Canis lupus familiaris: one gene and its partner. The protein of the gene in region 2 interacts with the protein of the main gene of each other region in a pairwise test. Links are inferred from orthologs where the notes say so. Each region holds a gene or a part of one and is shown on either strand. Other genes may lie near its edges.

Region 1 (4,500 bases), on a different chromosome or scaffold from region 2:
GGATGGATGGATGGATGGATGGATGGGTGGGTGGATAGATGCATCGATCTGTAGAAGATTGGATGACCAAAAGATTAGAGAATGGATAAATGAATTAATGAATGAGGATGAATGATTCAGTGTCTCTGGAGAACTGGCTCCTTCTCTACTCCCAGCCCTTTCTTCCCATCCTCCTTTTTCTTTTACCTTACCTGGTGGCCTCCTGTCGTTTGTGGAAGGTACGGTTAGGAAAGTTGGCAAACAGGAAACTCTCTTCATCTCCCAAGGCATAGGCCTTCCCACTCCGATTGGAGGCCTGGACAGCAGCCCCCAAAGCCTTCCAGGGCTGCTTTTGAGGGCCTATCCAGAGTGGGACAAGTCAGAGAATAGCCTCCTCCCTCCCAGCCCGCTGGACAATCCCGCCCAGCACCTGGAGCGCAGTATAACCCTGTCTGAACTCCTGGTCCAGGTTGCTGGTTCCCCAAACTCTCTCCCCACCTTGTAGTTTCCTGGGGAACCCAGACATCGAAGCCCACACTCACCACAGTCCAACTCTTGCTGTAACTGCCTCTGCAGCTTCTCCGGGTCCCATGGCCCCTCCAGCTCCTTGGCCCTTGACTTCCTCCTCTGTGGTCTTCTGAGTTTGGAGCTGGAGCTGCTCCCTTTGCACTGCAGGTCATCTTCATCGGAGGCTGCCTCGCGAAAATTCTGCCCCTTTCTCTGAGAACCAGCTCTCCTTCTATGGAGGGTCCTGTGCTCTCCCTCCTCGGCCTGCTCTGTCACCTCTACAAACTGTTCCTCTTCTAATATCAACCCCCTGCTGAGGAGTTGGGGCAGCTCCCCAGGGCTCAAAACCCTCTCTATCTCCTCAGAACCCAGGGCTTCCAGCTCGGTGCCTTCCTCAGACTCAGATCCTGATCCTGACCTCCTCCCAGGTGGCTGGAGGTCATACTCACTGGGTGCCTCCAGTTCTTGGCTCTCCCCTTTGCCAGAACAGCTGGGGATGCAACCCCAGGCCCTGAGCTGCTGGCTTCTCTCCAGGTTTGGCCCCTCTGTTTTCCAGCAGAAGCCATGGGGCTCTGGGAGGGTGGTTGTGGACTTGTGCCTGGCCTTATACTGGGGGACTGCTCGGGACAAGGACAGAGCTTGGTGGCCTGGGGCGGAGGCCGAGGAGAAGCTGGGCTGATGCAGAGCCTGGCCATCAGTGGTGAAGCTCTCCCAGGCCCACTGGAAGGGGAAGGAGGGTTTCCGAGGAGGAGAGGGGATGAGACTGAGGAAGGAGAGGACAGGGAGCAAGGGTCAAGGTCAGGGCCTCGGCCCCCAGTGGGGCCTGCCAGCCAGTATCCCCCCAGCCTATTGCACAGTGGCTTACTCTTCAGCTTCAGCAGAGCCACGGTCTTTCTTATTCCGAGCCTTGGGCCTCCGGTCCTTCTTTGGCATCTGTCCTGTGCTCCGAGACCTCGGCTGCTGGCCCAGAGCCACATCATCGCCATTCCCAAGCCTCCCCTAGGTGAAGACAGGAGAGGAGGCCTGGCTGCAAGCAGCCTCCTGGAGCATCCCACACCTCCTCCAGGGGACCCTCCTCTTCTCTGTACCATGGCTGGCCTGCTGGGCTCTTGTTATTGGTAAAACTGACTGATCACCACCTCAATTTTTAATATTTAATGATGCTGCTGAGTACCTGCTGGATGCTCAGGATTTTCATGCATCAACTCATTTAACTTTCCCAAGGACCTATATCCCACTGTTATCCCATGAGATCTTTTTTTTTATGGTGAAAAAAATTTATATTTAGATTTATAGCCGGCTGGACTCAGTTTAGATGATCCCAATTTTGTTGGCAACATCCAAAGCATGATAGGAGCCAGTCGAACATATGCTTTTTCCTCTCCATCAGGCCTGATTAAGGTGTTGACCTTGGCCACATCAATGTCATAGAGCTTCTTCACAGCCTGTTTGATCTGGTGCTTATTGGCCTTGACATCCATAATGAACACAAGTGTGTTGTTGTCTTCTATTTTCTTCACGGCTGACTCAGTAGTCAGGGGGAACTTGATATGGCATAGTGATCAAGCTTGTTTCTCCTGGGGGCGCTCTTTCCAGGTTATTTGGGCTGCCTCCGGAGATGCAGGGTCTTGGGTGGTCGGAATGTAGGTGACATACGGATCTTCTTTTTGTGTGTGTGACTGTGCACATCTTTCAGCACCACTTTCTTAGCTTTTAAAGCGTTTGTTTTGGCTTCGGCTTTGGGAGGGGCAGGGGCTTCCTTCTTCGCCTTCAGTGCCATCTTCGTGAAAGGGCCCGATGAGATCTCATCTCATCCCAGATAAGAACACTGAGACTCAGAGAGGTGACATCACTTGACTAAGGTTACCTAGCCAGTAAGTGGAGTCAGGATCTGAACATGCATAGTCTGTCTCGAGAGCCCAGATTTGTCACCATGGTACGGTGCTGCCTCCATGTCCCGGATAGCTCTTTTGAATGCTCCATGGGGCTCTGGACTTGCTAAATCAAGATAGAGGAAGCTTATTATCTTTCCTAAAACCCTCCTCCTCCTCCTTCTCCTGCAGTTCCCCTAGATGGCTCTCCTGGAAGCCTGGGAGTCATCCCTGGGTGTCTTCCTCATCCTCGCCTTGGACCCTTTAGGCCTCCCTGTGGTCCCTGCCTGCCTTGGGCCTTCTTGTCTCTCGCCGGGCCTCAGCTCCAGTTTCATGACTTCTCCAGTGCCATCCTGAGCCCTGGCCTATACTGACCCCAGGCAGCCAGGCTGCCTCCAGGCAGTTGGAAGTCCCCCCACAGGGCCTCCCTCACCTGCTCAGCTTGGGGGATGTCTGACAGGAACTTGAGCAGCCCTATGGTCATCCCAGGAGCCTGGGATGTCCTGCCCTGGTCTCCCTGAAGCCGCATGTCCTGCCCTGGTCTCCCTGAAGTAGTCCTGCTCGCCCGTTGGTGGGTGTTTCGCATATTGGTGTCCTGCCCGGACCCCCACCCCCATCTGCCAGCCTTGGAACTGCCCACCCCACCATCTCTATGGCAACCAGTTCTCAGTCAGCCTCAAGGGCTCTGGCAAAAAGCAGGCCAGGGAGAGTCAGCCAGGGTATGTGAGGTCAACTTCCTTCTGGGGGGGTAAAGTTCAGGATGATGCTGAGAAAGAGTCCAGGCCTGAGAGTCTTGAGGCCCAGGGCCAAGCCTACCTCTGCAGGACTCTTCGTTGACCTGGTATGAGTCCCCTGTCCTCACTCAGCCTGTGTCTCCCCCTCTATCTGTACAAGGGATCTCAAGACTTGACCATTTGGAAGGGTCCTCACACCCTCGGTGCCTGAGGGGGTCCCTCTCCCTCCACCTGCCTCCTGGGCTGCCCCCAGTACTCCAGCCCCAACTGAGGCCTTGCAAAAGCTAAGCTGAGCTCTCACAACAAGATCTTGTTCAAACCACTTGGCCTCCCAGGTCCAGACAGGGCAAGAAAAGCCAGTTGAACACCATGCCCAGGAGGGAAGCAGCAGGCAACCAGGACCCAGAGGAGGCTGTGGAGGAAGTCAGAGCATTTAAATCTCATCCCAAACTTCTAAGCATCACCAAAATGCCTTACCATGGTAAATCCCCATGGTACGCCTAGGACTGACCACTACCACCAGCAGCATAGGGAGTTCGGCGCCAAACTGAGCCCTAGAGACCCAGCGGCAGGGTTGGAGGCCTGGCTTGGCTGCTCACCAGCTCTGTGACCTTGGGCAAGTCACCTCTCCCCTCTGCCAAACTGGAAAGCATAGACCCATTCCATAGGTTAATTACAAAGATTAAATGAAATCATGAAGGCAGCATGCTCGGTAATGGTTCATTATCACTACTGCTAACAATGGCGGACTATTATTGGGGGGTAGCAGCACATGGTGATTAAGAGAACACAGGAAGCACTGGGGTTCAGATCCAGCTCCCCTTGTACCTCTGTGTCCTCTTGGGCATCACAAGGCTGGTTATGATGGCATCTTCCTCCTGGGGTCACAGTGAGGCTTAAATCAGTTACTAGAGACAGGTACACCTAGAACATTCCCATGGCTCATCCGAACTTCTGTGGAAGAGCTGTTGCTCCTTAGCCAACCATGCAGCCCCAGTGAGACCAGTAAAGGAAGCAGAGTCCAGCAGATGCCCTACAGGCATGGTTTTCCCTGAGCTTTGTTTCTGTGGCCTCATATCTGCTCTCAGACTCCATCCCGGCAGCACCTTTACAATGAGCTCACCCAGTGGAACAGCCTAATTAATGCTCCAGGTGAAGATTTCTTGTCCCTAAAATAGGCAAAATCTGCTCTTTCTGGTGGGTTGCCATGCCCACCCCACTGCCTCCTCTATCAGGTGTCCTGTGGAAGTACACAGGTAGGCTGCTCCATTTCCAGACCCTAGCCCCACTGATTTCCTGGACAAACTCTGGGCCACTTCCTTCCTTGGCAGAGGGCAGGTCTGGGTCGCTCAGGCTGGTATTTTTATGAGGTGCGTGCAGACCTCTTTTCTTACCTAGCCACTCTCACT
Region 2 (4,353 bases):
TAAATAAAATTAAAAAAAAAAAAAAAGAGGAAAGGGCTGGAGACAAAGGTGAGCCCACCTCCCACCTCCAAAGGGAGGTGCAGAGCTCTGCAAGCACGGGAGCTCTGCAGGGGGCTGGCCTCGCCCTGGGGGTGCCTCACCCCTCCTGCAGGCCTCCAGGGACAAGATGCTGGAGGGACAGGAAGGACTATGGCAGGATGCTTCGTCCCACTGACAAATCCTACCACTCCCCAGACGACCCGAACATCAGAGTAAAACACGTCAGAGACGAACCCGGGTTACCCAATCCGCAGATAGGACACGAGAGTTCATCACACTCCATGCGCCTGACCAAAAATTTGGAACAATTTGTTTTACAATAAATATCTCGTAAGTACTTAATTGGAAAAGCATTGCATGACCTCATTAAAACATAAGCAGTTACCGAGTGCACAATGTACACAAGGGAATGTTTGCAAAGGGCTAAAAGCCGGTCACCAGACGCTGACGAACAAGCCACTCGGACACACTGGCTGAGCAGAGGTTTCTTTTTACCTCCTTTCCCTCAAGGCTGCGGTTCCAGATGCTCTGGGCTTTGGACTCAGCGGCTAATAAGCCCCCCGTTCCTAACGCACGAGAACCCAAATCTACTTCATTAAGGAAAGCTATCTCGCTGCTCTATAAACACGTGAGCTTAATTACTATAAATTAGTGACCTTAATTTACAAAACGCTTTTGTGGGACTTGAAGGAAAGTCTGGAGGGGGCTCATCTGTTACTGCACTCAGGACGGGACTCAACACTGGCGCCCCCTGGAATCCCAACAAGGGCCGTCCAGCTAACCCTGGTACGCGTACTCTTCCAGCGTAGTGTCTAGGGGATGAAAATCAGGGGCCTGTGACCACAAGCCGTCTTCCTCACACTTCACTGAGTGCCAAACAGTACCCACAACCATGTGTAAAATCTCAAGTAAATCTCAGATAGGGGGATCCCTGGGTGGCGCAGCGGTTTGGCGCCTGCCTTTGGCCCAGGGCGCGATCCTGGAGACCCGGGATCGAATCCCACATCGGGCTCCCGGTGCATGGAGCCTGCTTCTCCTCTGCCTCTCTCTCTCTCTGTGTGACTATCATGAATAAATAAATAAAATCTTAAAAAAAAAAATCTCAGGTCTTAATTCCACCACTGGTACTGGCTGGGGTTAAGGGATACCGCTAAAGTGAGGGATATGCAGTGCTTTTTCATTACAATTTACACCTGCCAAATTCCTTTGCCAAAAATAACAAAAACCAAACAAATAAAAATTGAGTAAATGAGAACAAAAGCAGAAGGGAAGCTGAATCACCTTACAGTTGAGAGCTGCTGACTTTTTATTTACTTATTTAAGTAATCGCTACACCCAACATGGGCCTCGAACTCATGACCCTGGGATCAAGGGCTGCACTCTTCCAACTGAGCCAGCTGGGCGCCCCATGAGCTGCTGACTTTTAGAACATGGTTCACACATTGAAACTTAAAATCAGTAAGGACTCATAACGAAATACAAAGAGGAACAAGTGGGCAACCTGCGTGGCTCAGCGGTTTGGCGCTGCCTTTGGCCCAGGACCTGAACCTGGAGACCTGGGATCCAGTCCCACGTCGGGCTCCCTGCATGGAGCCTGCTTCTCCCTCTGCCTGTCTCTGCCTCTCTCTGTGTGTCTCTCGTGAATAAATAAATAAAATATTAAAATAAAATAAAAAAATTAAAAAAAAACAAACAGGAACAAGTGATTGACATAATGCAACAAAACCTACATAAATGCACTAAAATAATCTTATAAAAAATCTTGACTGTAAATTCCAAGAATAAAAGCAAAACAACTGTATGCAAATATTACACTCTAGCTAGTAGTCTATTTTTCATAGAAATACGGATTGGCAATTCTGAAGTTGCTCCAGAAAGCACAGGACGGGCGGGGAACATCTGGCGGTGCCGAGAAATGCTGGGGGACACGCTGACTTGAAGGGGCTCCTAATGCCCAAACCTGGAGAATTAGCAACAAAATACATTATAGCAATGTATTATACAGGTGTGGAATAAAAACAAAATAAAAACGTGTATACCAACACGAGATGAGGGGGGAAGGGAGGAAGGTAAGGTGCTGGGGGCACCCGGCTTGCTCAGTCGGTAGAGTCCCTGTGTGACTCTGGATCTCTGGGTCCTGAGTTCGAGTCCTATGTTGGGTGTGAAGCCTACTTAAAAGAAACGGGGGTGGGGCGGGAGGTTCTTTCTTACAGAATTCCATTAGTTGGAAAGAATAATGGAAACAGAAAAATCCTTAATTGGTAAAAAAAATATTAATAATTGTTTCAGAAAACACTTGTGATAGAAAGTGTGGTTAGAAACAAGATATATAGGGCGCCCGGGGGCCCAGCGGCTGGGCGTCGCCCTCGGCCCAGGATATGACCCCGGGGACCCGGGATCGAGTCCCGCGTGGGGCTCCCCGCAAGGAGCCTGCTTCTCCCTCGGTCTGGGGGTCTCTCTCTCTCTCTCTCTCGGTTGCTAACGAATAAATAAATAAAATCTTTTTTAAAAAAAGATAAAGAAACAATTTCCGTGGCCTGGAAGTATCATTAACGAAAAATGGCAACTTTAGAATGGGGACACACGGAAAGTACGTGCGTGAGCAGCGGCGGGGCAGGCGGCGCCCTGGGCCCGGGAGCGCGGGGTCCCACCCCAAGTCGCCCCGCCCCCGCCTGACCCCGCCTGACCCCGCTGCCCCCCGCCCCGCCTGACCCCGCCGCGCCGCGGGGGATCTCTCCACGACTGGGCGGGCCGCCGGACCGACCTCCCGGCTTCCGACCCTCCGCGCGGGGTGGGGCAGGCCGCCGCGGGCGCCAGCAGGGTGCTCGCGGGAGGGGGGCCCGCAGCCACGCCCCGCCCCGGGAAGGCGACGACCCCGTCACTGGGCCCGGGAGCGGCCCCGCCCCGCGCCCCAGGCTCACCGCGCACGCCCGTGGGGACCGGCCTCCGTCCCGCCGCGTCGCCATGGTGACCAAGTCCGCCCTCGCGGCTCCGGCGCGCTCGGTGCGGCGCTCGGGTCCCACCGCCCGGAAACGCGAGCTCCGGCGCCGGGTTCCGGCCTCCTCTCACCCGCCCCGCGCAGGCGCCAAGGGGCGGAGGGCCCACTCCCGCCCACCTGACGCCGGGAGAGGGTCCCCGGAACTGGAGGGACGGCGGGGGCTACGGGGGCCGGGGCCGCACGGGGGGCGGGGCCGCACGGGGAGCGGGGCCGTGGGGGCGGGGCTGCACGGGGTAGGGGCTGGGGCCGCACGGGGGGCGGGGCGGGGGCGGGGCCGGACGGGGTAGGGGCAGGGCTGCACGGGGGCGGTTAGGGCTGCACTGGGCGCGGGGCTGCACGGGGTGGGGGCTGGGGCTGCACGGGGAGCGGGGCCGGGGGGGCGGGGCTGCACGGGGTAGGGGCTGGGGCCGCACGGGGGGCAGGGCGGGGGCGGGGCTGCACGGGGTAGGGGCTGGGGCTGCACGGGGAGCGGGGCCGGGGGAGCGGGGCTGCACGGGGTAGGGGCTGGGGCCGCACGGGGGGGCAGGGCGGGGGCGGGGCTGCACGGGGTAGGGGCTGGGGCCGCACGGGGGGCGGGGCGGGGGCGGGGCTGCACGGGGTAGGGACAGGGCTACACGGGGGCGGTTAGGGCTGCACTGGGCGCGGGGCCGTGGGGGGGCGGAGCTGCACAGGGGGCGGGGCTGCACGGGGTGGGGGCTGGGGCCGCACGGGGGGCGGGGCGGGGGCGGGGCTGCACGGGGTAGGGACAGGGCTACACGGGGGCGGTTAGGGCTGCACTGGGCGCGGGGCCGTGGGGGGGCGGAGCTGCACAGGGGGCGGGGCTGCACGGGGTGGGGGCTGGGGCTGCACGGGGGCGGGTCCAGGGGGCGGGGCAACATGGGGGGCTGGGTACGCGGGGGTGGGGCCGGGCTGCACCGGGGAAGGGGAGCGGGGTACCCGGGGCTGCACGGTGGGGGAGGTGTCCATAGGCGGGGCCGGGGCTGCGGGGGACGGGGGGGGAGGGTCGATCGGGGGCGGCAGTGGGGCGGGGTCCGTGCCCCCCCAGCACCGTGCATGGGCCTTGGGGGGGGCGGGTGGCTCCAGCAGCCTCTCGTCCTGCGGAGGTCGCACCGTGTGTTGCGTGTGGTGCGGAGAATCCATCAGTTCGCTCTCCTAACTTGTGCGCTTTTGCCTTTGTGCTCAAACATAAGTGGAAAACAAAGCCAAATCGCCCTTGTAGGCAGCCTGCCTCCCAGAGGCGGGCCAGGCCCTGCTGCTCCTTCCGGGACAGCTCTGGGGAGCCCCTGAGGGCCTCCTCGCTGGCCTGGCAGTAAGCG

Evidence for each region. The genes of interacting proteins can lie anywhere in the genome.
Region 1: the proteins of CCDC57 (region 2) and TSGA10IP interact in binary tests that used the Homo sapiens proteins (3 or more experiments, as listed by UniProt). The two-hybrid records come from large-scale screens. The link is inferred for Canis lupus familiaris from reciprocal best matches to the Homo sapiens genes CCDC57 and TSGA10IP.

The regions. Positions count from the first base shown.
Region 1 is NC_049239.1:51,823,107-51,827,606, forward strand, and holds the start of TSGA10IP (testis-specific protein 10-interacting protein), read right to left. Parts: upstream 2,991-4,500; 5' UTR 2,944-2,990; coding exon 2,791-2,943; intron 1,477-2,790; coding exon 1,352-1,476; intron 1,250-1,351; coding exon 522-1,249; intron 340-521; coding exon 192-339; intron 1-191.
Region 2 is NC_049230.1:950,675-955,027, reverse strand, and holds the start of CCDC57 (coiled-coil domain-containing protein 57), read right to left. Parts: upstream 3,098-4,353; 5' UTR 2,961-3,097; intron 1-2,960. UniProt on the Homo sapiens protein: Pleiotropic regulator of centriole duplication, mitosis, and ciliogenesis. Critical interface between centrosome and microtubule-mediated cellular processes. Centriole duplication protein required for recruitment of CEP63, CEP152, and PLK4 to the centrosome.